7 linked regions of the Macaca mulatta genome follow. The protein of the gene in region 6 purifies or fractionates together with the protein of the main gene of each other region. This does not show direct contact. Links are inferred from orthologs where the notes say so. Each region holds a gene or a part of one and is shown on either strand. Other genes may lie near its edges. The genes, in order: ACIN1, GPATCH8, PRPF8, PRPF6, SREK1, RNPS1 and PPIG.

Evidence for each region.
Region 1: the proteins of RNPS1 (region 6) and ACIN1 purify together in Homo sapiens (affinity purification with mass spectrometry; 6 studies listed by BioGRID and IntAct, with this or other methods). This does not show direct contact. The link is inferred for Macaca mulatta from reciprocal best matches to the Homo sapiens genes RNPS1 and ACIN1.
Region 2: the proteins of RNPS1 (region 6) and GPATCH8 purify together in Homo sapiens (co-immunoprecipitation; 4 studies listed by BioGRID and IntAct, with this or other methods). This does not show direct contact. The link is inferred for Macaca mulatta from reciprocal best matches to the Homo sapiens genes RNPS1 and GPATCH8.
Region 3: the proteins of RNPS1 (region 6) and PRPF8 purify together in Homo sapiens (affinity purification with mass spectrometry; 3 studies listed by BioGRID and IntAct, with this or other methods). This does not show direct contact. The link is inferred for Macaca mulatta from reciprocal best matches to the Homo sapiens genes RNPS1 and PRPF8.
Region 4: the proteins of RNPS1 (region 6) and PRPF6 purify together in Homo sapiens (co-immunoprecipitation; 3 studies listed by BioGRID and IntAct, with this or other methods). This does not show direct contact. The link is inferred for Macaca mulatta from reciprocal best matches to the Homo sapiens genes RNPS1 and PRPF6.
Region 5: the proteins of RNPS1 (region 6) and SREK1 purify together in Homo sapiens (affinity purification with mass spectrometry; 3 studies listed by BioGRID and IntAct, counting the BioPlex papers as one, with this or other methods). This does not show direct contact. The link is inferred for Macaca mulatta from reciprocal best matches to the Homo sapiens genes RNPS1 and SREK1.
Region 7: the proteins of RNPS1 (region 6) and PPIG purify together in Homo sapiens (co-immunoprecipitation; 3 studies listed by BioGRID and IntAct, with this or other methods). This does not show direct contact. The link is inferred for Macaca mulatta from reciprocal best matches to the Homo sapiens genes RNPS1 and PPIG.

What each region holds. Positions count from the first base shown.
Region 1 is NC_133412.1:96,155,270-96,158,965, reverse strand, and holds part of ACIN1 (apoptotic chromatin condensation inducer in the nucleus), read left to right. Parts: intron 1-1,482; coding exon of another isoform or gene 1,483-1,485; coding exon 1,486-1,616; intron 1,617-1,713; coding exon 1,714-1,866; intron 1,867-2,382; coding exon 2,383-2,524; intron 2,525-2,584; exon of another isoform or gene 2,585-2,788; coding exon 2,789-2,934; exon of another isoform or gene 2,935-3,343; coding exon 3,344-3,451; exon of another isoform or gene 3,452-3,591; coding exon 3,592-3,696.
Region 2 is NC_133421.1:68,877,471-68,881,785, reverse strand, and holds the start of GPATCH8 (G patch domain-containing protein 8), read left to right. Parts: upstream 1-1,476; 5' UTR 1,477-1,502; coding exon 1,503-1,547; intron 1,548-4,315.
Region 3 is NC_133421.1:3,240,432-3,244,781, reverse strand, and holds the start of PRPF8 (pre-mRNA-processing-splicing factor 8), read left to right. Parts: upstream 1-1,491; 5' UTR 1,492-1,563; intron 1,564-1,762; 5' UTR 1,763-1,773; coding exon 1,774-1,873; intron 1,874-2,633; coding exon 2,634-2,802; intron 2,803-4,073; coding exon 4,074-4,238; intron 4,239-4,325; coding exon 4,326-4,350. UniProt on the Homo sapiens protein: Plays a role in pre-mRNA splicing as core component of precatalytic, catalytic and postcatalytic spliceosomal complexes, both of the predominant U2-type spliceosome and the minor U12-type spliceosome.
Region 4 is NC_133415.1:116,866,466-116,870,730, reverse strand, and holds the start of PRPF6 (pre-mRNA-processing factor 6), read right to left. Parts: upstream 2,917-4,265; 5' UTR 2,803-2,916; coding exon 2,732-2,802; intron 1,004-2,731; coding exon 835-1,003; intron 1-834. UniProt on the Homo sapiens protein: Involved in pre-mRNA splicing as component of the U4/U6-U5 tri-snRNP complex, one of the building blocks of the spliceosome.
Region 5 is NC_133411.1:74,276,537-74,280,232, reverse strand, and holds part of SREK1 (splicing regulatory glutamine/lysine-rich protein 1), read right to left. Parts: intron 3,015-3,696; coding exon 2,850-3,014; intron 2,710-2,849; coding exon 2,531-2,709; intron 1,338-2,530; coding exon 1,207-1,337; intron 348-1,206; coding exon 233-347; intron 1-232. UniProt on the Homo sapiens protein: Participates in the regulation of alternative splicing by modulating the activity of other splice facors. Inhibits the splicing activity of SFRS1, SFRS2 and SFRS6. Augments the splicing activity of SFRS3.
Region 6 is NC_133425.1:3,508,765-3,513,018, reverse strand, and holds the start of RNPS1 (RNA-binding protein with serine-rich domain 1), read left to right. Parts: upstream 1-1,450; 5' UTR 1,451-1,480; intron 1,481-2,808; exon of another isoform or gene 2,809-2,902; intron 2,903-4,254. UniProt on the Homo sapiens protein: Part of pre- and post-splicing multiprotein mRNP complexes. Auxiliary component of the splicing-dependent multiprotein exon junction complex (EJC) deposited at splice junction on mRNAs.
Region 7 is NC_133417.1:74,548,325-74,551,512, forward strand, and holds the end of PPIG (peptidyl-prolyl cis-trans isomerase G), read left to right. Parts: intron 1-1,017; coding exon 1,018-1,154; intron 1,155-1,337; coding exon 1,338-2,448; 3' UTR 2,449-2,650; downstream 2,651-3,188. UniProt on the Homo sapiens protein: PPIase that catalyzes the cis-trans isomerization of proline imidic peptide bonds in oligopeptides and may therefore assist protein folding. May be implicated in the folding, transport, and assembly of proteins.

The sequences.
Region 1 (3,696 bases), on a different chromosome or scaffold from region 6:
CCATACCATAAAAATCAGCATTCATTGAGAACCAGATTTTCATTCTCAATGGCATTCTTGGGTCGCTCCCTCCTGCCCCACCCCTTGTGCCTAGCAAATCTGAATCCTTTCCTATGTAGGGTTTCATTTTGAAATTCAAAGCTTGAGACAATCTCCATCATATTTCTCTAGTCACATTTTAATGAGATACACTATGAGGTGTCTGAGACCATGTCCCATTTAGCCTTAGAGGCATTTATTCTTTCAGATACGTGAATACTCAACAACGAATGAGTTTCAAGGACTCCTATGTAATGCTTAGCAGTTTATGAATTATTCTGGGTTTTGTTGTTGTTGTTGTTTTTGAGACGGAGTCTTCCTCTGTAGTAGTCCAGGCTGGAGTGCAGTGGTACAATCTTGGCTCACTGCAACCTCCGCCTCCCAGGTCCCAGTTCAAGCAGTTCTCCTCAGCCTCCTCAGTAGCTGGGATTAGAGGCACGTGCCACCATGCCCAACTAATTTTTGTATTTTTAATAGAGATGGGATTTCATCATGTTGGCCAGGCTGGTCTTGAACTCCTGACCTCGTGATCTGCCTGCCTCGTCTCCCAAAGTGTTGGGATTACAGGCATGAGCCATCGCGCTTGACCTTGTTTATGGGTTATTCTAAGAGCGCACCCGAGGAAATGAAAGTGCCCCACACCTCAAACAGTAACAATTTTAACATTTTCCCCAATGAGGAACTCTAGATTACAAAAGTATAATAGATGTTTATAACTTAAATATCAATCTGTGGTGTGAAAATTAAAGGAAGACCAGATCCCATCATGATCTTAGTTCTTGCTTAGATGTTAGTATCACGTAGTGTTCTTGTTTCTTCTGCATTCACATGTCCTTCTCAGTTTTTCTTCCACACTACTTAAGATACTACTGTCTACTATTAAAAGTTTAAACAGCTCATCATACTAGCTACCCCTCCCTTACTGCTTTTAGATCAGTAGTTTCTATCAGGAAGGGACCTCAGCCCTTTTAGTGTTCAGTCTGAAGCCATGGTTTCCCAGTTCCCAGATATGATTTCTTTTCTTTTCTTTTCTTTTCTTTTTTAATTTTCTTTAAGACGGAGGCTTGCTCTGTTGCCAGGCTGGAGTGCAGTCAGTGGCACAATCTCGGCTCACTGCAACCTCCACCTCCCAGGTTCAAGCAATTCTCCTGCCTCAGCGCCCTGAGTAGCTGAGATTACAGGCGTGCACCACAACGCCCGGCTAATTTTTGTATTTTTAGTAGAGATGGGGTTTCACCATGTTGGTCAGGCTGGTCTCCTGACCTCATGATCCACCCGCCTCAGCCTCCCAAAGTGTTGGGATTACATGCGTGAGTCACCACACCCACACACTGATTTCTTTAACCTCCAAAACTCCAGCCAGGGGTAACCTGTAGGTATTATGGTTTGAACTAGCAGAGGTCCTGAGACCATCTAACTGTTGGGTCTATTTCTTGGGGACAGCAGCTACCAAGGGGGTGCCAGCTGGAAACAGTGACACAGAGGGGGGCCAGCCTGGTCGGAAACGACGTTGGGGAGCCAGCACAGCCACCACACAGAAGAAACCTTCCATCAGTATCACCACTGAATCACTCAAGGTGAGGTGGGAGGAGCCAGGGAAGGGAGGATGAGACCTGTTAAGGTGGGAGTAGACATGGGCCCAGTGTAACGGGGTGGGGGGTATCTGTGTCCCAGAGCCTCATCCCCGACATCAAACCCCTGGCGGGGCAGGAGGCTGTTGTGGATCTTCATGCTGATGACTCTCGCATCTCTGAGGATGAGACAGAGCGTAATGGCGATGATGGGACCCATGACAAGGGGCTGAAAATATGCCGGACAGTCACTCAGGTAAGGCTTCTGCACCCCAGTGTCGGGAGGAAGGTGGGAGCAGTAGATGCAGAGCAGCCAGCTGAGGAGCTGAGATAAAGTCTTTGGAGGGAACTTTCCTGTCTGTGCAGAGGGTTGGGTTGATTGACACTTTCAGGGGTCAGACTACCAAATCCAGCTGGCTACCTGTTATAAATAAAGTTTTATTGGAACACAACCACACCATTCACTTTTGTCTGTGGCTGTTTGTTCACTGCAACATCACCGGAGTTGAGTAGTTGCAACAGACTATGTGGCCTGCAAAACCTGAAGTACTGCTTTGCTCTACAGAAAAAATTTACCAACTCCTGCCTTAGTTTTCCTCAAGGCAAAGTTGAGGTACTAACAATCCCAGGATCTAGTAGAGGTGAGCTGGATAATGAAATACCCCTAGCGGAAGGAACATGCTAAGTTGACTGTTGCTCTCACCAGGGAACCAGAGGCTGAAAAGAATATGCCAGTTTGGTGTTTAACAGACCTGCTGTGTTCTCTTGATAGGTAGTACCTGCAGAGGGCCAGGAGAATGGGCAAAGAGAAGAAGAGGAAGAAGAGAAGGAACCTGAAGCAGAACCTCCTGTACCTCCCCAGGTGTCAGTAGAGGTGGCCTTGCCCCCACCTGCAGAGCATGAAGTAAAGAAAGGTGAGTGACGCTTTTCGTATATCATATCTTTCTCCTACATATGAAGTAAGCTACTTGAGGGCCAGATTTGACTCTGTTTAATCTTTGAATCTCCATGATGAGGTTAGCCTAGCACAGTACTTTGCAGATTATAGGTGCTCTACACGTTTAGATGAAGGAGTGGCTGCTTGGTATAAAAGAAGGGGAACCGTGATAGTTATGTTGAAAGTGAAACAAGCCAGTATTGATTCCTACCAAAAGCTGTTCTTGTGGTCTTCTTCATAGTGACTTTAGGAGATACCTTAACTCGACGTTCCATTAGCCAGCAAAAGTCCGGAGTTTCCATTACAATTGATGACCCAGTCCGAACTGCCCAGGTGCCCTCCCCACCCCGGGGCAAGATTAGCAACATTGTCCATATCTCCAATTTGGTAAGTCATTGTTTCTCACATCCCAGCTGGCTTAGTGGTTAAGTTTGAGCTTTAGGCTTACACTTCTTAGGTTCCACTCATAGTTGAACTGGTCTACCAATAGATTAAGTTACTCACTGATCTTGAGTGAGTTACTTAACCTATTTACCCATCTAAAAATGAAGGGGAAAAGCTGTCGCCCTGCAGGGTTGTTTTGAGGACTTGCAGAGGGCCTCATATACAATGTCTCAGTGCTGGGAAGCACCACCACTCTTCTCACATTCTTACTGCAAGGTTCCTAAACTCTCTGCCCTCACCCAAACCTTGAAACTATAGTCCTGTGACAGCAGCTTGGGAAATCTAAAGATTGGCTGTATGGGTGGTGGTCTTGCCTTCTTCAAGACCCTGAAAGTCTTATTTTCATTGGCAGGTCCGTCCTTTCACTTTAGGCCAGCTAAAGGAGTTGTTGGGGCGCACAGGAACCTTGGTGGAAGAGGCCTTCTGGATTGACAAGATCAAATCTCATTGCTTTGTAACGGTGAGGGGAAGAAGCTGATTCTATAGGTCATGGCATATATTTCCTTTTGTGACCAGTGTGGGCAGGTTTAAGGGTGTTGCAGCAAGTGGGAAGGGTTGCAGACACACTGTGACCCTCCATCTTCTCCCTTCCTCCACCAGTACTCAACAGTAGAGGAAGCTGTTGCCACCCGCACAGCTCTGCATGGGGTCAAATGGCCCCAGTCCAATCCCAAATTCCTTTGTGCTGACTATGCCGAGCAAGAT
Region 2 (4,315 bases), on a different chromosome or scaffold from region 6:
AGCCGGGTGTGGTGGCGGGCGCCTGTGGTCCCAGCTACTCGGGAGGCTGAGGCAGGAGAATGGCGTGAACCCGGGAGGCGGAGCTTGCAGTGAGCTGAGATCACGCCACTGCACTGCAGCCTGGGTGACAGAGTGAGACTCCGTCTCAAAAAACAAACAAACAAACAAACAAAAAGCTGGGCTTGGTGGCGGGCGCCTGTAATTCCAGCTACTATGGAGGCTGAGGCAGGAGAATCTCTTGAATCTGGGAGGCGGAGGTTGCAGTGAGCCAAGATGGCGCCACTGTACTCTGGCAATAGTGCAAGACTCCGTCTCAAAAAAAAAAAAAAAAACCCCACAATGTTTGAATTCTGTGTGCCCTGCCTCCCCTTAGGTGGAAGTGTAGGCTGAAGCATGGGTGAGGCAAAGGGTAACAACTAGAAAATACATATCCTTCCTCAAAAAATTACATTCCATTTGACTCTTTCAGGGCAAGGTAAGAGCCATTTTTCCATTGTGTGATTTCTGTCAACTACTCTTTTCAAAAGGAGGAAGTCCTACCACCCTTCTATGTGTTTATGTATTTTGGCTAAGAGTGCTGGAGCGCTGGGTGAGGTCCTCAAAAGGGATGGAAAAATCTGAATCTTAACTCACAGTCAGCGCTAGACAGGAGCAGCAGAGATTACTGAATCCAGCTTCCTTATTGTATAAAAAGGAAACTGAAGCCCAGAGAGCTTTAGTCGATTTGGATCAACTTCGGTCCCTTGAGAAATACTTTTCTCAAAGGATGGCTAGATATCAAGCTCCTTGCAGTCTTTGGGCCTTTGGGTCTAATGTTCCCTATGCCCCAATGCTGTGGGCTCCTCGCTGTGCCTCGGGTCAAAGGTCCCTTCAGAGACTGTCCCTCTCAGCACTGCGGCCAGTTTTACTTTTTTGTGGCACTTATTGATATTTAAAAATATTTATTCTACGAGTTATGTGACTTCTTCCACTGGAATGAAATCCCCATAAGAGACCATTCCTGTCTCGTTCACCGTTGAATCCTCAGGGTGAGCTGAGATTCGAAACAAAGTAGTATGGCTCTAAAGTCGCGCTTTAGGCCCAACATTATGCTTCCAAAAATTTAGTAAAGACGATGGACTTCTGCGCACACGGGGAAGCGACAGTGAGAAAAGATACCCGGAAGTGAGCCACAGCAAAACATCCAGACTCGTCCGCACGGTGCCCCTTCTGACCTTTCCCTCCGGAAGCTTTCGCGGCTCTTGGGCGGGAGTGCGCACGCGCGGCCACCGGGGTCGCTCCGGGTCGCGCGCGGAGCAGGGGCTGGAGGGAAGGGTCAGCCTCCAGGGCTGGCAGGCGCCTGCGCTGCGGGGCTCCAGTCAGGACGCGCATTCTCGCTCCCTCCCTCGGCTGCGCGCGCCCGGTGGGCGTGGGAGGAGGCGGGGAACCGGGGAGGGGCGGGTGTCGCAGGAGGGAAGGAGCGAACCGGAGAGCGTCGTCCTGAGAGGAGTGAAGGCGGCAAAATGGCGGACCGCTTCTCCCGCTTCAACGAGGACCGAGACTTTCAGGTAAACACGGGCGTCGCCGAGGATGCGGGGAAGGCGCTGGTCTAGCCCAGAATGTCCTTCATCTCCGGCTCCCAGCCCTCTTTCCTTCCAGGTTTTGCTCCGACTTGCGAATTGGCTCTCTCTTCTCCCGTCTCTGCTTTCTCAAGAGGCCTCCCGGCTTGAGGGAGGCCGCATCTCCTCTCACGCGCATTCTCTACCCCTGAAACTCAGGCCGCGGGGCTTGCGGCTTCCGCCTGTTTGGCGTCGGATTTGGGAACCGGGCCTGGGAGCTCTGTGGGGGGCTGTGCCCTCCGGGTCTGCCCGGCCTGTGCCGGCAAAGGGCTGGCTCCCAGGGGACCAGAGGGGTGGTTGGGTTGGGCTGGGAGGACTTGGGGGCGAGTGTTGCTGAGGCCAAGGCTTCCGAACCCCGGGATTTTGCTCTCACGGATCCTTTTGGGGTCCTTCTCTTTTCTTTTTTCACTGTGATGAATCAGTTGCTTTCATTGTCTGTTTTTCCTTTTCCTTACCTGGGAAAAGGTTGCATTCGTTATCAGACGCCTTATTGGTTAGTCATACATTAAGATTTCCCGGGACATAAGTGTTGCTGCTGTTATTAGGCTGTTAATTGGGCTTGGAAAACAGTAAGTTACTGGACTATGATCCGATGTGAGCCTAACCTCAAATCCTATCTCGAAAGATTTGTAAGAAGCGTAATGATAATGGACCTTCCACGCGTGGGGTCACTAGTGCCAAAAGCTTGATTTTTCTTTTTTCAATTGCAAATGTTGGTATGGTAAAATGCCCTTACGATGGCAAGCTCTATTGAGTAAAAAATAAAGGCCAAATTAGAATAACTCGTTTTTTCGTTGTTGAAAATACCTTGCTGTTGAAATTGTTACCGCGGAAATCTCGACGACTAAAAGGGATTTAGTAGAGATTGGCTATTTCTAGGTAAAATACATCCGTAGAGTCTCAAAAAAAACCTCTGCATTACTACCGCATATCCTGGCAACTGCAATTTGGGTCAGGGGATGAATCTCAGAACTCAAGTTTTTATCCGGCTGCAGATCCTACTCAAAGCAATAGGAAAGCACTCTAGGTGTGTTTCAGAATGCAGTTTAAAGAGTTTGAATTCCCTGAGATGATAGGACTGGTAAATAAATAGATAAAGCAGTTTAACAATTTTAACTCAGCACTGTTAACAAGGTAGTACATAGAACGCTTATGAGAAGTTTTGCAGCAGTAAGGGATCTGGGGGCTGTTAAAGCCTTGTGATCATGCGCTTGCTGTATAGCTGCAGCACAATACAGAAGAATCTCAAGGTGTTCTAAGGATATAATGCAGATTCACCAAAGTTTGAAGCAGTTCATATTAGCCTTTTGATCCCTGAGAAATATATGTATATTTTAGCAAGCACTATAAAATATGAGTAGGCTGCAAGGTGTATGATGAGCTTTATTGATTTTTAAATTACCAATAGAGACCTATTGATAACTAAAGCCCGCAAATGCTTTTCAGAGGAGAGAATCTCAAGGTGACCTAATAAAATCGAAAATAGATAATATGGACAATTAAATTTTGAGGAAAGATGACTGTCAACCACAGAATTCCAGCAGGCTTAACAAACAGGATTTTCGGGGCCTTTAATGAAGATTTTGAAAATTGTGGATAGCAGAGTGTGAATGCTGTTTCCTGAAAAAAATTGAGGGGGTTAGCCTCTACTTTTTCAATACTCAGTTTCTAAGTAAGATGACCCTCTCTTTTGATGCTTTAGTTGGGTATTGCAAAACCTGATTTTGGTTTCATGGTAGTCCTTTGAAGATGATATGTATAGTTCATTTTCTGCTTCTATGTTGAAAGAACCAACCCGTTAAGTTGGGTCAGCCAGGAAGATGTTGGGGTTTTTTTTGTTTGTTTGTTTTTGAGACGGAATCTCACTCTGTCGCCCAGGCTGGAGTGCAGTGGCACCATCTCGGCTTACTGCAACCTTCCCCTCCCGGGTTCAAGCGATTCTTCTGACTCAGACTGCCGAGCAGCTGAGACTACAGGCGCCTGTCACCACACCCGGCTTATTTTTGTATTTTTAGTAGAGATGGGGTTTCACCGTCTTGGCCAGGCTGGTCTCGAACTCCTGACCTCGTCATCCGCCTGCCTCGGCCTCCCAAAGTGCTGGGACTGCAGGTGTGAGCCACCGCACCCGGCCGAAAATGTTGGTTTTTAAAATTCAGATGTCCTAGCATTTTGGGTAAATAAGGTATTGGGAATGGAAACCTTTTTAGACAGTTGGAAGATGTTAAAACTTTTATAAATTATGTTAATTTATAACATTCATTTAAAGTACTTTTATTTAAAAATGAAGTGGTATTTTTCTGTGTGTTTTAATAAAGGGAAAAATACAGATTGTCTTTCACTTAATGATGTCTTTTGATTCAAAGTTATTGGTGAGAGAATGTAATGTAATAGGATTCTCCTGTGAATAATGTATCTGAAACATTTTCGGCTTCAGGTTATTCAAAATTAAACGTGGCCTCCTTAAAAGGTTTTGGGTGAAGCCACTGACTATACTTGAAAACAAATCATAGTAAGTTTCCAAACACAATGGATAGATCTTGTTGCTTTCAACAGATCTTGTAGCACTGGAAATTTTTCTGTTCATCTTCTCTGGTAAGTTCGAGATGACTGTTATTTTCTTTGCCTTTAATTTGGCAGGATGATTTAAAGCTGTAGAGCTTCACTCTCTACCAGTTTATCAAGTGCAAATTTTAGAGAGTTTGATGTCTCTTGAAATT
Region 3 (4,350 bases), on a different chromosome or scaffold from region 6:
CCTGGCCAACATAGTGAAACGCTGTCTCTACTAAAAATACAAAATTTAGCTAGCAGTAGTGGCACCTGCCTGTAATCCAGCTACTCTGGAGGCTGAGGCAGGGAAATCGCTTGAGCCTGGGAGGTGGAGGTTGTGGTGAACTGAGATCGCACCATTGCACTCCAGTCTGGGCAACAGAGTGAGACCCTGTCTAAAAAAGAAAACAAAAGGAATTGTTTTAAAATTTTTACCGTTCTGAAAGCACATTGACATCCTTTGCATTTTTTTTTCTAATTATTTCACTTTGATTTGTAAATTCTCAACTAGATTGAGGGGCTGTATGGGTTACAATTCCTCTGCATCCTCCCCAATAAACTTGGTGGGAATTTCAGACTTTTTGTTTGTTTGTTTTTTCCGAGACGGAGTCTCGCTCTGTAACCCAGGCTGGAGTTCAGTGGCGCGATCTCGGCTCACTGCAACCTCCGCCTCCCGGGTTCAAGCGATTCTCCTGTCTCAGCCTCCCGAGTAGCTGGAACTACAGGTGCATGCCACCACGCCCAGCTAATTTTTGTACTTTTAGTAGAGACGCGGTTTCACCATGTTGGCCAGGCTGGCCTTGGACTCCTGGCCTTAAGCGATCCGCCCGCCTCAACCTCCCAAAAGGCTGCGATTCCAGGCGTGAGCTACCGCCCCCCCCCCCCCCCAATGAGCTTGATTCTTTCTGCTCCCCTGTGAACCCTACTGGTTGTCTTTTTTCCTGCTTTATCCCTCGTCCTCGGTAGACAGTGGGCACTCAATAAAGAATGGTTAAATGAATGAATGCGGCCGGGCGCGGTGGCTCAAGCCTGTAATCCCAGCACTTTGGGAGGCCGAGACGGGCGGATCACGAGGTCAGGAGATCGAGACCATCCTGGCTAACACGGTGAAACCCCGTCTCTACTAAAAAATACAAAAAACTAGCCGGGCGAGGCGGCGGGCGCCTGTAGTCCCAGCTACTTGGGAGGCTGAGGCAGGAGAATGGCGTGAACCCGGGAGGCGGAGCTTGCAGTGAGCTGAGATCCGGCCACTGCACTCCAGCCTGGGCGACAGAGTGAGACTCCGTCTCAAAAAAAAAAAAAAAAAAAAAAAAAAAAAAAAAAGAATGAATGCATGAACAAATGACCGTCCTGGAGCTAGTACTGCATTGCACGTATACATTGATGACAACAGACATCGTACAATGCGCAATCTTGGCAAATTTATTAAAAGCTTCCAGACTTCGGTCTCTCGCAGGGCGACGCCGGGAGCCTATCACACACTGAGGTCTGTCGGGGGCCTCAGGAACAGCCTCGGAAACGTGGGAGGCGGGGCTTCCCCGACCACACCCCCTTGTATTCAAAGCCTTTCCGCCTGTGGGCCCGCCTCCTCGGCGCAGTGTGCCACTCTAATTGGCCATCTTACCAATCCATCTGAGCACCTCGGCGCCGATTGGATCAACTGCTGAAGTCGGGTTGCGCACTTTCCGGCGCTGGGAACGCGGAGCGGACGCACACTGGCCGCCATTGCGCTCCGGAGAAAGCGGCCCCCTGTGTGAGGGGTTGTGGGGTGCGTGGCAGGCGTTTAAGGCCGGGCTGCGGGAGGCGTGGTCGGGTCGGGCTGAGTGACCGAAGGGGTTAGGCCGGGCGGGGCTGGATGCACTCAGTGTGGCGGGATTGCAGGCCCGGGTCCCCGGACGCCTTTCTGCTGCGCTTCTTGTGGGCCCGGGCCTGTGGTTAGTGAATTTTTCTGTCCCGCCGCTGTCCAGATTCTCCGGGTATGGCCGGAGTATTTCCTTACCGAGGGCCGGGTAACCCGGTGCCCGGCCCTCTAGCCCCGCTACCGGACTACATGTCGGAGGAGAAGCTGCAGGAGAAAGGTGAGTCGAGTGTGGAGCGGCGCGCGAGCCGGAGGCGGGGCGGGTGTTCGCGCGCGCAGGTGGCTGGGGACCCTCCCCGTTTGGGCAGCTCCCGAGGTGACAACTCCCTTGTTAGCCCCATTTAACTTTTTATCAAGTCATTTTAAGCGCGTGTTATCTGCAAGCGCTGATCCAGTAGTGATGGAGACAAAATTCCTGTCCTTACGGGGTTTAAATTACAGCGGGAGAGAAAGACAGTAACAAAACCTTGAGGATCTGTAATAAAAATGTCAGGCCGGGCGCAGTGGCTCACACCTGTGATCCCAGCACTTTGGGAGACCCAGGCGGGCGGATCACCTGAGGTCAGGAGTTCGAGACCAGCCTGGCCAACATTGTGAAACCCCATCTCTACTAAAAATACAAAAATTAGTCGTGTGTGGTGGCGCGTGTCTATAATCCCAGCTACTGGGGAGGCTGAGGCAGGAGAATGGCTTGAACCCGGGAGGCGGAGGTTGTAGTGAGCCGAGATCGCTCCATTGCCCTCCAACCTGGGTAACAGAGCAAAACAACGTCTCAAAAAAAAAAAAAAAAAAGTCAGATAGTAATAAATGTGATGAAGGGAAAAACATAGTAAAGTGGTAAGGGAATTGGCAAGGAGTGTTGCTTCCTGCTGGATGCCTGCTCCTCTGTCACACTCACTGACAGGAGCTTACCCTAGGGCAAGAGGTGAAGAGGATTAGGCTGAGGGTGTGCAGTCCTTTAAACTGAGGTGCCTTTGTAGCCCGAAAATGGCAGCAATTGCAGGCGAAGCGCTATGCAGAAAAGCGGAAGTTTGGGTTTGTGGATGCCCAGAAGGAAGACATGCCCCCGGAACATGTCAGGAAGATCATTCGAGACCATGGAGACATGACCAACAGAAAGTTCCGCCATGACAAAAGGGTTTACTTGGGGTAAGGAACATCCTGAAATAACTTCATTTGGAATTTGGTTCTTTTCCCTTTTCCCTGTCCCACAGTCTTGGATAGATGCTCTGTCATTTTGGAACAGGACGCTGCTTTGACAGCTCATCTTGGTGGATATAAGAGAAAGGAGAAAACCAGTAGGAGTCTCTGATAATTTCTACATCTTCCACTTACGCAGTCTGTTTCCCTTCTGTTCCTGATCTGGGCCTGGGACTTTAATTTGTCCTGTTGATGCTGTTATAAGATATCCCTGTCGTTGAGCTGTTTGAAGCCCAGAGTGGGAGACTGTGCATAGTGGCAGCCTGTCACTCCTCAGGGACCTGAATTCTGTGTTTAGGGTATTTAATTTCAGAGGTATCCCTACTGCTGTTTTTCTGTGGCTGTAAACTGGGTGGGTACAGGTACAGATGTCTTAGCAGATTCCTGCTCTATTTGGACACAAAAACGTTTGCCGTGTAATGAACTGGAAGTTTTGTTTATTTCAAAAAATAGTTTGAGAACTGTGCTGGCTGCTTGGGGTATAGTAGCGAGCAGAGGGTAACAATCTCCGCCTTTCTGCAGTGTGCAGTCTAGTGGCATGACAGACATGAGACAACTGGTGATAGTGAAGTATGGTGAATACTTTATTATGATTTATGAGAAGATACTGAGGGAATAGGATGTGAGACAGCCGCAAAGCTGTCTCCAGAGGGACAGCTGTTGATTTAGAGGAGCTGATACCAGCATTGTGGGACTATGACATTTAAGAAGAGTGCTGAGGCTGGGCGCGGTGGCTCAAGCCTGTAATCCCAGCACTTTGGGAGGCCGAGACGGGCGGATCACGAGGTCAGGAGATCAAGACCATCCTGGCTAACACGGTGAAACCCCGTCTCTACTAAAAAATACAAAAAAAAAAAACTAGCCGGGCGAGGTGGCAGGCGCCTGTAGTCCCAGCTACTCGGGAGGCTGAGGCAGGAGAATGGTGTAAACTCGGGCGGCGGAGCTTGCAGTGAGCTGAGATCCGGCCACTGCACTCCAGCTTGGGCGACAGAGCGAGACTCCGTCTCAAAAAAAAAAAAAAAAAAAGAAGAGTGCTGCAAGATGAAGTTGTAGAGGGAGAGGCAGGGTTTCTGGTTAGGAAGGGCCTATGGGCTAAGTCTGGGAGTTTGGATTGTAAGGTAGGATTTACTGTGGAACATGAACGTGTGGCTTCTCTGCATGGGACAGGTAGCAGAACACCTCGTCATTTCTAATAGCCTTCTCTTTTTCTAATGTGCCAGTGCCCTAAAGTACATGCCCCACGCAGTCCTCAAACTCCTGGAGAACATGCCTATGCCTTGGGAGCAGATTCGGGATGTGCCTGTGCTGTACCACATCACTGGAGCCATTTCCTTCGTCAATGAGATTCCCTGGGTTATTGAACCTGTCTACATCTCCCAGTGGGGGTGAGAAAGGCTGAAATATGGTGGGCAGTGGTGGTGGTGGTTGGGGGCAGTGGGTAGAAATGGTTGTGTGATGTTCTTGCCTTCTAGGTCAATGTGGATTATGATGCGCCGA
Region 4 (4,265 bases), on a different chromosome or scaffold from region 6:
CAACACTATGGGAGGCCGAGGTGGGCAGATCACCTGAAGTCAGGAGTTCGAGACCAGCCTGACCAACATGGAGAAACCCTGTATCTACTAAAAATACAAAATTAGCCGGCCATGGTGGCACATGCCTGTAATCCCAGCTACTCAGGAGGCTGAGGCAAGAGAAATCGCTTGAACCCGGGAGGCGGAGGTCACGATGAGCTGAGATCGCACAACTGCACTCCAGGCCGGGCGCGGTGGCTCAAGTCTGTAATCCCAGCACTTTGGGAGGCCGAGATGGGCGGATCACGAGGTCAGGAGATCGAGACCATCCTGGCTAACACGTTGAAACCCCGTCTCTACTCAAAAAAATACAAAAAACTAGCCGGGCGATGTGGCGGGCGCCTGTAGTACCAGCTACTCGGGAGGCTGAGGCAGGAGAATGGCGTAAACCCGGGAGACGGAGCTTGCAGTGAGCTGAGATCCGGCCACTGCACTCCAGCCTGGGCGACAGAGCCAGACTCGGTCTCAAAAAAAAAATAAATAAATAAAAACAACTGCACTCCAGCCTGGCCAACAAGAGCAAAACTCCGTCTCAAAAAAAAAAAGACTGGCCAACACGAAATGCCAAGGCAGCGGTCCCAACATCTGCAAGAACACCTCCTCTGACAAGAGTGAAACTTCGTCTCATATTTTTCCTCCTCCCTCTCACTCTCTGTAAAGATGTCCCATGAATAGCTGAAATTTTAAATGCATGAGCCACTCCAAGCCATTCATTACAGACACCAACACACAATGGTGAGGTCAGCTGCTCCCAGAGACTGGCTGGAGGAGCCACGAAAGCTGGACACATCTCACCTCGTCGTAATTGGTGTCATTTAGATCCTCATCGTCATCGTCAGCAGCCTGGTTTTTCTTCATCTGGTCCCCAACAGTTCTCTTGCCTGGGGGCGCGTGGCGATCATCCACGGGATCATTTGCATCACGGGCGGGCCCGATGTCTGACCGTGTGGTGAAGCCAGTGGCGCTGCGGGAGACCCCCAGGACACCCGGTATCTGAACAACTCTGTTCCTGTGCTCTTCTCCACCCCTGGTCATCACTTACTAACACCTCTTTTTCTAACACCTCTGGGAAACCTCCAAAGATCCTGGTGACAATGATCTGCAGTCTCAAACGCTACCGATCTTCTCTGCTTACCTGAAGGTTTTAGCCTATCCTGACGATGTTACCAAGGCAATCTCTCTCCACCCTAAGGTTTCCATCATCTCCCCCTCCACATCCAACTAGGCCCTTAAACCCAAGTTGGCCCAAACTGAGGTCCTCTTCTGTACCCACCTTATAGCTGCTCTGGGGTGTTTCAGCTGATAACAGCACTGCTGTCCCAGATGACATAATCTTTGCCTCCCTCTCCCACTTTCCCCATCCTGTCTGTCCCCAAGTACTAATGAATCCACCTTCAAAATCCCTCCTTCCCAGACTATGACTCGCATCACAGCTGGAAACCAAGGTAGCTCTCCCTGCCTTTAGCCTTCTTCTACTTCAACCCATGCTCTGCCAGATGATTCTTTCCAAAACACAGCTCTGACTAAAAAATTCTGGGCCGGGCGCAGGGGCTCATGCCTGTAATTCCAACACTTTGGGAGACTGAGGCAGGTGGATCATGAGGTCAGGAGTTCAAGACCCCCCTGGCCAACATGGTGAAACCCTGTCTCTACTGAAAATATAAAAATTAGCCAGGTGTGGTGGTGGGCACCTATAATCCCAGCTACTCAGGAGGCTGAGGCAGAAAACTGCTTGAACCGGGGAGGCAGAGGTTGCAGTGAGCTGAGATCACGCCATCGCACTCCATACAGAGCAAGACTCCGTCTCAAAAAATAATAATAATTCTGAAGGGTCATGGTCTTTCTAATACATCCAGGAGCTGCAGCCTGACGCTCAAAGCCTCTCCAACTTCCTGAGCTCTTTTCTATTGGTTGCACATTCCACTCACACTGGACTCCCTCCTGTTCTCTGGGCTTCCTCCTTACCTCACTTTTTTCCGAACTCCTGCACACAGAATGTCAGTTTCTCTTTTATCGCTACCACGTTTCTGCAGCCCTAAGTCCAGCTCTCCTACTAAACTTGACTCCAATGCTACTCTCCATTAAGCATTGGGTTCTAAATCTGGTCTTCTTTACGTGCTTATTTATGCTAATACCAAACCCTCCTTAGTGAGCTTCTGGTCCTCTGATGATGCTGTCACTATCGGAGCTTTGTGTGTGCCCCACAGATTCTAATATAATACCACCACCAAGAAAAACCCAGTAGTTTTCCTCATCAAATGAATAGCCAAATAGGGTAACAACGACTGCTCACTTATCCAGCAACGTATGGTGGTCATCTGTGTTGCAGGCAAGGAGGACCCAGGCACGCTTAAGGCGGGGCGGGGCGGGGGGTGTGTCAGCCTGACCTGGGGAAGGTGGTCGCGTGTTTCCACTACACATCAGATTCCTCTACACCTCACTGCAGACTGCATACATCATTCCCCATCTTACAGACCAAAACACTGGGCTGAGAGCCAACATGTCCCATCTAGGCGGCAGGCAGGGTGCACACACTTATGTCCTGACCCCAAAGCCCGTTGCTTCCTGCAGGGATTAAGCCGATCCACCAAGCGTCTTTTAGACAGCGCGGCCACAGACCCCCGCCCCCAAACACGCGCACTGCGCTCCGCTAGCCGGGTCCCCGCCCCTGGCGCGCCGCTCCAGGCCTCACCCCCGGCCCAGCCCCGGCACGTAGCCGAGCGGAGCGGGCATCCCCAGGAACGGCTTCTTCTTCTTGTTCATGGCGGCGGCGACGACCAAGGCTAGGAAGCAACGGAATGAGGCAGCGGAAGAGGGGAAGCAGCAGAGACTCCAGGCTTCGACGTCCGAGGCGCTCCGCAGGAAGGTGTCGCGAACGTCGCGTCACCCGCGCCCCGGAAGCAGAGCCCTCAGTCCGCACACGCCCCGCCCACTTTTTTACTCCCCGGGCGGAAGCCCCGACGTGCCGGTTCGACGACTTCCGGCCGCGGCTAAGGGGAGGGGACGTGGCAGGCGCGTGCGCGGGAGCGCCTCCTCGTGGCGAGGCGGGGAGAGCCAGGCCGAGCCTGCACTGGGACCCTAACAGGCCCCGGGGGGCCAAAAATAGCCTGAGGCATCGCTCCTTCCCGAGTGCTCTCATGCATTCCCGAGGAGACCTGTCTGTGCCAATAGGACCCGTGGTCCCCTCCCTCTGAACCAGCCCAGCTGCCCGCCCTCGCCCCGGGTGGGCCCTGATCACTTCCAAGCAGAGCTGTACCCTGTCCAGTTGTGCAGAGCTTGTGTGTACTGGTTATGGGCACACCTGTCCGTGTGCGTCCTGGGCGCACACTGCTGCCCTAAGCTTTCAGCACTCATATTCTTTTTTGTTGTTGTTGTTGTTGTTGTTGAGACGGTGTCTCGCTCTGTTGCCCAGGCTGGAGTGCAGTGGCGCAATCTCGGCTCACTGCAAGCTCCGCCTCCCGGGTTCACGCCATTCTCCAGCCTCAGCCTCCGGAGTAGCTGGGACTACAGGCGCCCGTCACCACACCCGGGTAATTTTTTGTGTTTTTAGTAGAGACGGGGTTTCACCATTCACAGGATGGTCTCGATCTCCTGACCTCGTGATCCGCCTGCCTCGACCTCCCAAAGTGCTGGGATTACAGGCCTGAGCCACCGCGCCTGGCCTAGCACTCATATTCTTGAACCTCCATTCATGCATCTGTCCCTCCAGTGGGACTAGAGACCCCACCCACGCCCACCAACATGCCTTGGACATTCTGGTGAGAGCCACATCCTCAGCTCCTGGAGAGCTAATTGAAATAAACAACCGTAGTTGACCTGTAGGGAACACGTCAGCACATGAACACGGCTGTCAAGCATGTGAGTGAATTCTATGTGTGCGATTAGTGGTGTATGATTAGTGTGTGTGATTAGTGGGGTGTGTGATTAGTGTGTGTATGATTAGTGTGTGTGATTAGTGTGTGTGACTAGTGTGTGCGATTAGTGTGTGTATGATTAGTGTGTGCGATTAGTGTGTGTGATTAGTGTGTATGATTAGTGTGTGTGATTAGTGGTGTATGATTAGTGTGTGTGATTAGTGTGTGTGATTAGTGTGTGTGATTAGTGGTGTATGATTAGTGTGTGTGATTAGTGTGTATGATTAGTGTGTGTGATTAGTGTGTGTGATTAGTGGTGTATGATTAGTGTGTGTGATTAGTGGTGTATGATTAGTGTGTGTGATTAGTGTG
Region 5 (3,696 bases), on a different chromosome or scaffold from region 6:
CTAATTTCTAAAAATAAAAATAAGTTCAAATATTTAAAAATTAAATATCATTAGGCAAAATTTCATTCTCAACTACAGAATTACAATTAGAACAGTATTTAATGGTGATCACACTTCAGGTGTACACTACTAAAATTTCTAAATTCTGATATTTTGACAAAAACTCATAAACTCTTAATATTTTAAATACAAAACTAAAATAAAATTTAAATATGACAGCAGAAATTCTCACCTGTGCTTTGATTGTGATCTTTTCCTTCTAGAATGCGATTTTGAGCTAGACCTGGATTTTGAGCGAGTATGGGAACGAGATCGACCGCCTTTTCTTTCATTGCTCTTTCCAGACTCTGGGAGGAAAAAACCACTTTGCAGTGTAAGCTCAGAACAATTAAAGATCCCAGTTAATAATCAGGCACAAGTGGAATGTACCACATATAGTGCAAGGGGCCTACTCTCTGTACATCCTCCTCCTTCAGAAACATCCAAGAAAGTCATTGCATAAACTCGTTGAGTGCAGCCACCCTGCAGCAGTACATATAAACCAGATGATTATAAACAGCTGTTCGTAATATTATGTTGCTGCCGTAACGTACGATTATAACATGTCTGTAATTCCTGTGACAGTGATTTTAAGTCCTTTCTCCACTTATTCTGCTAGAATTGAAGCTTAAATTCCGAGTGGTGATTTAGAAAATCTGCTCAAATGTAAACCACCTAGATGTTTTTAGAATGGGTTTTTAAATTATTTTCATTAGCAACACAAAAGTTTGAATAGGCGTTCCTTTACCTTGCTAAAATACAGTATCTGTATTTTTTTCTAAATCACGGGCTCTCTTTTCTATTTTCAGAATTAAAATGTTGAGGAAAAGTAAACCTGCCGAATCATAATATCTTAAATATATTTACTCTTTTTAGCCTTGCAATAACATTTTTGCTTTCAGCAAATCATTTTTGAGCACTGATTTTGCTATGAAAATTCAGGGCTGATTAGCTCAGACTAAAGTGCCTCAATTCAGTATCACGGAAAAGAATAAAATATGTGCTAAGTTTTTCTTTGACATGAGTACGCTACTTACTATTTCTTGAGTTTCAGTCTTCTTGTTTGTAAAACGAAGAGACTGAACAAGATGATTTCTAAAATTCCTTCCAGTTCTAAGATTCTATGATCTTTAAACTATGACCTATGTAACAACGTTATGGACTTACCTGGTTCAATAGCTGCTGAGATAAATGACTGAGCTTCTCGTACTCGCTTCATTACTTCTTCTAACTCCTTAGCTGCAGCCTGAGGTGTCATCTCAGGGGGTTTTACTATTGCATTGTTGGAGTGATTTATTCTAAATTAAAAATATTAGCATATCACAAATACACACATTTTATAAAACAAACATTTATATGATACACATATTTATAAATTTGAGGACATCTCAGAAGCACATGAGAATGATATAAATACAGAATACCCAAAAGCAACCTCAAAACCACGATTAATCTCTCATCCCCACTTCCTATCATTCCTTGCTAATACAACCAAAAACGGCAGAAAAAGAAAATTGGACCCTAGCTAACTTAATTCAAACAGACAAGATTAAGTGCTTTTCCACAGCTTAGAATTAAAATAAATTAAAATGCTGATACCAATATGAAAATGAATTATTTGTATTTTCAGATCAAAAGATCTTATTGATATCCTGTACACTCTAGAAGAAGGGAAAGCTATCTGTATATTATCATATTATGTACATCATTGTAACCAACCCTGAACCATGGCTGAGTCAGACATAGCTTTGAATGTGCAAGGCACATTCTTCCTCTACGAGATAAGAATGCCTTCTCTGATGCACATGAATGGATGTCATGTGTCTTGCTTTACCCCTTCCACACTGAGAAGACAAGTACCCACCAACAACAATTAGTTATCCTTTAACAGAAAAATCCTGATCAAATTGTGTAACTAAAGCAATCTATGAAATTCAAGCAAAACTATATTTGCCTCAATAATCTGCATGAAATAGAGTATCCGGTCTGGAGTTCATCTCGAAGGCTATATCAACGTTTTACAAACAAGGATGTAAGCAAACCTTAAAAGTCAAAATGTCTGGTTTAAAACACTTGTGGGCACTTATAATTTCCTTCCGGAGATTTTGAATTTACCACAGTTATTACTGGAAGTACTATAGTTCAACCTACATGTTAAGTTGCTCAATTAGTCTAGAGTCATAATGTAAAACTAACCTGACTTATTAAAGTCTATGAAAAAGACCTACAACTGTTGTGCAAGGTATATAAATAATGTTAACATTGAATTAGAACCTAGAAAACAGAAAATGAGAAAATAAATGTCTCTAAATAAAGGAATTTAAAGACTAAAATGGTAAGTATCTCATGTATTCATTTATACTTAACACAAAGTCTTCCTTTCCACAAATTGCCAATTACTATTAAAAAGAAAAAAAAAAGCCTTAATTACATCAAAAATACTTTAAATTTTTTCAAAATCATTAAAATTTCTTTGTTTAGGATTTCTTACTTCAGTGGCCTGTCTCCAAACATAACTCCATTAAAAGCAAGGGCCCTTGGTACAGAATTTTGGTCTGCAAATTCCACAAAAGCAAACCGAGTTGGCTGAGTCTCATCACCTGCCATCCGTACAAACTTCACTTCTCCAACTTGTTTAAAAAATTCAAGTAGCTGATCAGCTGTCGTTGTCTAAGGAAACAAAGTGACACTTTGATAAAATACATCCATTTAAAAAATCAGGTAAATATTACTGTATCCACTGATACGATTTTTAAGAAGAGAAAAAGAATAAGGGCTACTGCTGCTTTGTTTCTTCCTAAATTAGTTACCTGGGAATTCAAATTTCCAACATAAACCGTTCTCCTAATTTCATCTATTTTGGAAGGATCCACGTTTCCCATAAGTGGTGGCTGTGGTATCTCTCCAAGTGTTGCAATGTTGGGGTCTAGTGCTGCTGCTGGTATAGCTCCCAAACTGCTAAGTGAAACACCAAGCTATCGAAAGAAGAAAAAAAACACACAGAACACATATTTTCTATTAGTATCCAAAGCTACCATTCTCTAATCTTGAAAAGAATGAACTCAACAAGAATGAAAGGAGACTAGGGACTCCAAACTTTAACTCATATATATGTCTGACTTATTAAAATAAGGTCACATTAGTTTTAAATGTAATTCAAAATGTATTTTACTGTCTGGATATTTTAGCCACTTTTAAACTTGACCCTAAAAAATAGGCTGTTTCTCATTACTTGAGGTAGCTATGTTCTATAGTTTCCACAAACAATGAATTATTGAATACTGAACCATTATTCCCAGGGAAAATACAGGGTGAAGTTCCTATGAGCCTCTGGTCACATTTACATTAACTAATAAAATATTTAACCTTATTTTATATGTGCTTCTGTTTAAAGACACCTTATCTGTTATATACTGTCGATTCATTAACACTGAACTCACAGCCAGCAGCACCACAACTCAGGCCTGAATGAAGCTTATCTAATACATGTATTTAATATTTTCTCCATGAGGCACTTCACAATCTTCCTGTACTTAGGAACACTAGACAGCAGTTTGGCACTACACTTGTGGGCCCATCTTAACAGTGAAATCACCAACAAAAAGCACAATTCGAAGAACATAGCACTAAACAGACTACGTGCCTGTTTACAGCCTG
Region 6 (4,254 bases):
CTGCCATCTAGTTCCATGTCATAAAAAATATAATGTGTTTGTGGCCTAAACACTGCCCAAGAGAAAAGGTCTGAAGTGGGCCCTTCTGGCCCCACACCCTCTCTGCAGGGGCTGTGGCCTCTAGGTCGGGCCTGGGGCTAGGAAGAGGGACAGAAGTCAGTGCATGAGGCCACCCAGCTCCATGTCCATGCCCACAGTCCTTCTGCAGGGCATCCTCAGACTTGTTTTCAAGCCTATGTGTTAGAGATTTAGGAATGTGTCATTTTTCTCCTGTGACACCCTAAAAAGGGGTTGGGGAGAGTGTATAGGACTGAGGGCATAGCCCGCATGAGGCACACACTTGTGAAGCCAGCGTGCATAGACAGGACACGCACAGAAGACACCATCCCCCCTGGCAGCACACTACCAGTGCCAGTAGGGGTCTTTAAGTAAGGACTGGCACAACTAGAACTCCTTAGGAAAAGGATCCGCAGCTCGGGAGGCTGCTGCGTGGGGACCAGGAGGGGCAGGTGCATTCAGGGCGTCTGTGGCAGGGGCCCAAGGCTGCACCCAAGCCTGGAGCTTGGATGACCCCAGGAGCAGCAGGAAGGGCCCATCTGGCATCCCAGGGGCACCCTCAAGGCCTCTGGAAACTCAGTGCTGGGGCTAGGTCACCAGTGACACCCTAAGGAGCCTGGGACTGAAGCCTCAGGACTCCGCCCCGCCTGATTTTTGTCTGAGCTGTGGCCGTTCCCAGCCCACGGGAGGGCAGGGGAAAAGAGCTATGGGCCCAGGGATGGGAGCTACCGGCCCATCCACGCTCCACCCTAGACCATGGGGTGGGGGGGGGCATGCATTCTCTATGGACACTGTCCCCGAACAACTGTGGCATCTGACAGAGCCGACTCCTGCCCTCCTCCCAATTCACCTTAGACCTGGGAGACGAGGTTCTGACTTCACTGCCCTGCGTAGCCTGGCACAGGGCTCCCATGAGCAGATGGCCCATGGGCCACGAGCCAGGTATCTGCACCTTCTGTCCTCCAGGCTGGCCCAGTCCAACAGGCTGGCTCAACTGACACCACACCCACAACTCAGAGAGGGGAAGACCTTGCAGTGTGGCGGGCCCAGGCCAAGCCCCTCCACTGCCATCACAGGTTTACAGCGAAGCAGGGGAGCAGGCTGGATACAGGCAGCCCAGGCCACAGGTCCGGGGACCCACACCAGGCCACAGGAATGGGCTTGCTGAGGGTATCAGAAAACCCCAGGTCACAGTGGTTTGAAAAAGAAGTTTATTTCTCAGCCGTGTAGGCAGGAGGAGGCAGTCCAGGGCTCTGTCACCTGAAGTCTCAGGGAGGCAGGCTCCATCTGCTGCCCCATCATCCTGGTTCACGCCTCCCTCCTCATGGTCACCTCTGTGTTCAAGGAAGTGCTTGGCCGGGCGTGGTAGCTCACGCCTATGTAATCCCAGCACTTTAGGAGGCTGAGGAAGGCAGATCATGAAGTCAAAAGATCGAGACCATCTTGGCTAGCATGGTGAAACTCCGTCTGTACTAAAAATACAAAAAAATTAGCCAGGCGTGGTGGCAGGCGCCTGTAGTCCCAGCTACTGGGGAGGCTGAGGCAGGAGAATGGCGTGAACCCGGAAGGCAGAACTTGCAGTGATTGGAGATTGCGCCACTGCACTGCACTCCAACCTGGGCGACAGGGTGAGACTCCGTCTCGGGGGGGGGGGGGGTGGGGGGGGAAGAAGGAAGTGCTCAAGTTCAGGGTGGGGTAGGGTGTGTGCAGTGGCCTCCGTCCAGTGTCTGTCACCTCCAGGCAGCTCCCTGCTGCGCCTGGACCCACCTGTGCCCTTGGCTCACTCCATCTTGCTGAGTTTCCCATCTCTGTCTTGCTGGCTGCTTTCAGAGACCAGGCCCAGAGTCCTCAAGACTCAGGTGACCTTGGCTACCCCTGGAATCCTGGACTAAAGATCTGCAATAAAAATGTGTCCAGCAGGGAACCATCCTGTTTGCTTTGCTTTTCTGAGTTCCTACAACAAACCAGCCAGGGTGCACTGTGGGGCATATGGACACAGGCCCTGGAGTATGGCTACTTCTGCCTGGGGGCGTCTGGGAGGCTTCCTGAGTGAGGTGGGGTCTCACCAGCTCCAGGGGACACCACTGCCGCGCACAAGGTAAGGGTGGGGGTGGAGGATCACCTCCGTGAGGACCCAGACCCCACCCACTGTGGCTGCGGTGGAGACTGCAGGTCTGTCTCAAGGCCCCAGGCCTGACACCTGCAAGAACAGAACCTAGGAGTGACAGAGGGGATTCCACCAGGCCAGCCCGGGGCTTGAACCCCAGCCAGGGCAGCTGCTGTCCACTGCCCCACCAGGTAACGCACCGACCCAGCTGCTGTTCAGCTCCCCTCCGGGCCAGCACCATGCTCATGGCATAGGCCGGCTGGGCCCTCTGAGACCCCCACTCCCACACAGACTGGTCTGCATGGAGGCTGGTGCCTGGCTGCACTAATGGCCAGAGCCCCCTGCAGACAGGCAGCTCAAGGGGAGCTCCAGAATGCAGGAAATGGCCCAGCACGGGAGTCACTTAGGCTGCCCACCCCTCAGGGAACTGAGATGTCCCTCCTTCCAGATGCCCCCCGAACCCGAACATGCTGGGCGTGCTCTGGTCACCCCACACAGGGGGCTCAGGGTGGGAGAGCTGGAGGCTGCCTGTAAGGGGCAAGGCCTCCTCCAGGAGGTAGGATGGGGTGGGGCAGGCGGGATCCCCTCCTCACCTGATGGGCCCTCGAGGCCAGGCTGCAGGCAGGCAGGAGGGGGCTGAAGCAGTGGGGTCAGGCCCGGGGAGCGGGGGCCCTGCCTTCCTTCCTCAACACACGGGGCTGCCCAGGCCCCGCTCCTGGGGCCGGGCCCACACCCCACAGACACTGGTGTCAGATGCTTCGGCTTGAAGGAGCTCCACATGGACCAGCTGCAGCTGCCCCTGGGTCCGCCTGGCCCAGGCAATACCACAGCATCACCAAGGCTCATCTAGCCATGGGCTCAGCCCCCAGGTCCTGAGAGGCACCCCAGGTGCCTCAGTCACAGTCCCAGGCAGCTCAGGTCCCAGGCGGCTCACGGTCACTATCCTTGACTTCATTGTAGCAGAAATGGAGTGCTTTGAGCTTGTGATGAGCACAGGCTCCCGATCCTGGGAGAGTCCAGACGTGCCCACTGGAGGGGCCCCAGGCCCTGATGATACCCACTCCTCAGACATGCAAACCCGGAGCCAGGGAGGCCTCAATGAACCGTATACTCTCCCAACAGACCAAGCTCACCCCACACCAGCACAAGGCCCTTTCAGACCCAGCCTGGCCACCCCAATGGACCTGGCCAGCACCTCCCCCAGTCCCACCCTCTCCAGACAGGTGCCAGGCTATGGTGACCTGCCTCTCAGCAGGCACGGCTCCTCCTCTGATGCCTCCCCCGAGGTCGAGTCATTACTCCCTCGTCCACCTGACTGGGCTGCACACGGCCTCAGTGCAGAGCCAGGTTTTAGTGGGTAAAAGGGCTCCCTTGCTGTGCTTTACCAGAGAATACAACACCCTCCCCAAAGCTCCTTCATGACCCACTGTGACCTGCAGCACCACCAAGCCCATCACCAACCCTGTGTCCCAGGCCACGAGCCTCTAAGCGCAGGCACTGCAGAAGCCACCAGGCAACAGAGGATGGAGGCAGGGAGGACATTCTGCCTTCATGAGGGCATGCCCTCAAAGACAGAGTCGCCCCAAACAGTCAGCAGGTGACCCTCAGCTCTGGGAAGGCAAGGGGAGGAGCTCAGGGCCATGGCCAGAGCCCACGAGAAGCCTGTGCCCAGCACTGCAGTGCTCTGGCCACTGCATAATGCCGTGTCCGCAAAGCCCTGCCTGCCCCCTGCAGCAAACCAGGGCCCCTGAGGCTCCAGAAGCCCCAGCTCCACTACCCTCAGCCTCCATGGCCTTAGCAGCCTGGCTCTGGGGCTGAGCTCCTGGAAGGACAGGGTGGGGGTAGGCTCCTGACTTTTATTTTCTCACGTTTCTTTCAGACATGCTTCTGCTGATCCTCAAAATGGCAAAAGCCAGGATGCTCAATTCTCAAAGCTCAACAGCTGATGGCACATTTGATGACAAAAATCAGTAATATTTAGAAACAATTTTGATTAAATTCATAAGTGCCTGAATAAATCATACTCGTCGATTTAATATAAAATGTGTGAAAGCTTATTCGCAGGCCAAATGAAATTACTGCAGAGCATT
Region 7 (3,188 bases), on a different chromosome or scaffold from region 6:
GAAAGAATGAAAATGGAAAAGGCAAATGTTGTGATATTATTATGAAAATAGTTTTGACCCCTGAGCCTTTAAATCCCAGATCCCACTTTGAGATTCACTGTCTAATCTTTTTTTAAATAGTAGCCAGAATTGTCATTTAAAAATGAAAGTCTGATTTTTGTGCTACTCCTTTACCATTGATCTTAGGATAAATCCAAAATTACTACGATGGCCTATGACACTTCACAAAACCTAGTCCTTGCTTACCTCATCAATGTTATCTAGTACTAGTTTCCCTTGTAATTTTTAGCTTTGGCCATATTTGGTCTGTCTTTTCTTCTTAACTCGGAAACTTCCTGTCTCAGCATCTTTTCCCTTTTCCTTTTATACACATTCTATTGTAGCTGCATATATGTTTAATATAACTAATTATATGTTCATTCACATGCTCTCCAAGTCCTGTAGACTATAAGTTCCAGGAAAGCACACTCATATATCTTGGCTCACTAATGTTCTCTCAGTATGTAGTAGAGTGTTTGGTCATCCTAAGGGTTGAATAAGTGAACATCTACACATATACTCTATTTTCTCCACAATATGAGAAATGGTTGCTTTGAAACATTAAGTATATATAACATTTAGATTGAACTTGGCAACTTATAAGTTGCTCTAGCATTACTTGGATAGGACTCTTCCATGGAGAAGACATGTATGGCTAGTGGCTAGAGTTTTTGTGATTAATGTTTCTTAACTTGGAATTTGCAACATGACAACTTAAGTTTCTCTGCCTCATTGATTTCCTACATGAAAATTGGGAAATTTTAGTAATTTTCAGGGCATAGAAATATCAGACGTTTTATTTTAACCTAGAAACATATGCTTTTTAGCTACTATTATAATGCTTTTTATGTATTTTTAAATTTTGTACCCCTTACTACCTCCTGACCCTCAAGCCCAGTACTTCCCTCTCTCCCAGCACTCATGTGAGTCCCTCTATACTTTTATACATTAATTTTTCCCCCTTTTAATTTTCTTTAGCGTTACCGAACTCCTTCCAGATCCAGATCAAGGGATCGTTTCAGACGTAGTGAGACTCCTCCACATTGGAGGCAAGAGATGCAGAGAGCTCAAAGAATGAGGGTATCAAGCGGTGAAAGATGGATCAAAGGGGATAAGTAAGATTTAACTATTATTTCAAATGTAATAAGTATTTGTTTTTACTATTATACATAAAGTTATTTTATTGTCATTTTAATTATTGCTGAATACCTTAAGAAGAGTAGAATATCATTTTAGCCAATAATATCTACAATTCTTTTTCTAATAACATTTCCCCAATCCTTTTTCTTATTTTTTAGGAGTGAGTTGAATGAAATAAAAGAAAATCAGAGAAGTCCAGTTAGAGTAAAAGAGAGAAAAATAACGGATCACAGGAATGTATCTGAGAGTCCAAACAGAAAAAATGAAAAGGAAAAGAAAGTTAAAGACCATAAATCTAACAGCAAAGAGAGAGACATCAGAAGAAATTCAGAAAAAGATGATAAATATAAAAACAAAGTGAAGAAAAGGGCCAAATCTAAAAGTAGGAGTAAGAGTAAAGAGAAATCAAAGAGTAAAGAAAGAGATTCAAAACATAATAGACATGAAGAAAAGAGGATGAGGTCACGGAGTAAAGGAAGGGATCATGAGAATGTTAAAGAAAAAGAAAAGCAGTCTGATTCTAAAGGAAAAGATCAGGAAAGGAGTAGAAGTAAAGAGAAGTCTAAACAGTTAGAATCAAAGAGTAATGAGCATGATCATAGTAAAAGTAAGGAAAAGGATAGACGTGCACAATCCAGGAGTAGAGAATGTGATATAACTAAAGGTAAACACAGTTATAATAGCAGAACAAGAGAACGAAGCAGAAGTAGGGACAGAAGCAGAAGAGTGCGATCAAGAACCCATGACAGAGATCGCAGCAGAAGCAAGGAGTACCATAGATACAGAGAACAGGAATACAGGAGAAGAGGACGGTCACGAAGCCGAGAGAGAAGAATGACACCAGGAAGATCAAGAAGTAAAGATAGGAGGAGAAGGAGGAGAGACTCACGGAGCTCAGAGAGAGAAGAAAGTCAAAGCAGAAACAAAGAAAAATACAGAAACCAAGAAAGTAAGAGCTCACACAGAAAAGAAAATTCTGAGAGTGAGAAAAGAATGTACTCTAAAAGTCATGATCATAATAGCTCAAATAATAGCAGGGAAAAAAAGGCTGATAGAGATCAAAGTCCCTTCTCAAAAATAAAACAAAACAGTCAGGACAATGAATTAAAGTCCTCTACATTGAAAAATAAGGAGGATGAGAAGATCAGATCCTCAGTGGAAAAAGAAAACCAAAAATCAAAGGGTCAAGAAAATGACCATGTACATGAAAAAAATAAAAAATTTGATCATGAATCAAGCCCTGGAACAGATGAAGACAAAAGTGGATGAGTGAGTGATATAAACTTCCATTCTGTTTCGAATTTTAAGTTTGAGAGACTTGCTAATGAATCTCCTTTATGTTGTTTTCCTTTTCATTGTTTTTGGGTTGTTTTATGTTTGTCCTTTTTTCTTAATGTGGATTTCATTGAGTTGATCTTTTGATAATCTGCAATGTGGATAATTTGTACTGCTAAAGTTTTAATAAACTTGAAATGAGAAAAACACTTTGGTGTAGTATTGTGTGCTGTGTTTAACTATTTTATGTATGCATTACTGTGTTGCAACAATTAGCCAATAGCATCCTAATTTGTTTAGTCAGCCATTTGGAATGGTTGCAATGCATTGTTACAAAAGCTTGTGTTTCTCATGATTAAAGTAACTTTAGAAGCCACTAGAAGACATCTTGTATAGATTTTCTGATTGCATTAATAATAGAGGTTTGCAGCGGTTTCTTTTAATTACACAGAAGCAGGGTCCTAATAACCTGAGATCTTAAGTCATAACTTTTGATTTTATAGTAATTTGTGCTTTAAATAGATGTTTAGTTATTTATATTGCACTTCATACTCTATTCTTTATAGTTTGAGCCATAGCTTGTTTCCTATTAATGCTTTTCCTGTCTAGTTGTGTTTTACTTAACTGCCTATAAAAATCATAAGAGTAATTTTTTTCCGTTGATGTACTGATTGAGCTTGAGTTGCTGTTATACAGCATTTGACAGGAACTATACCTTGGAAAATCAGATTGTG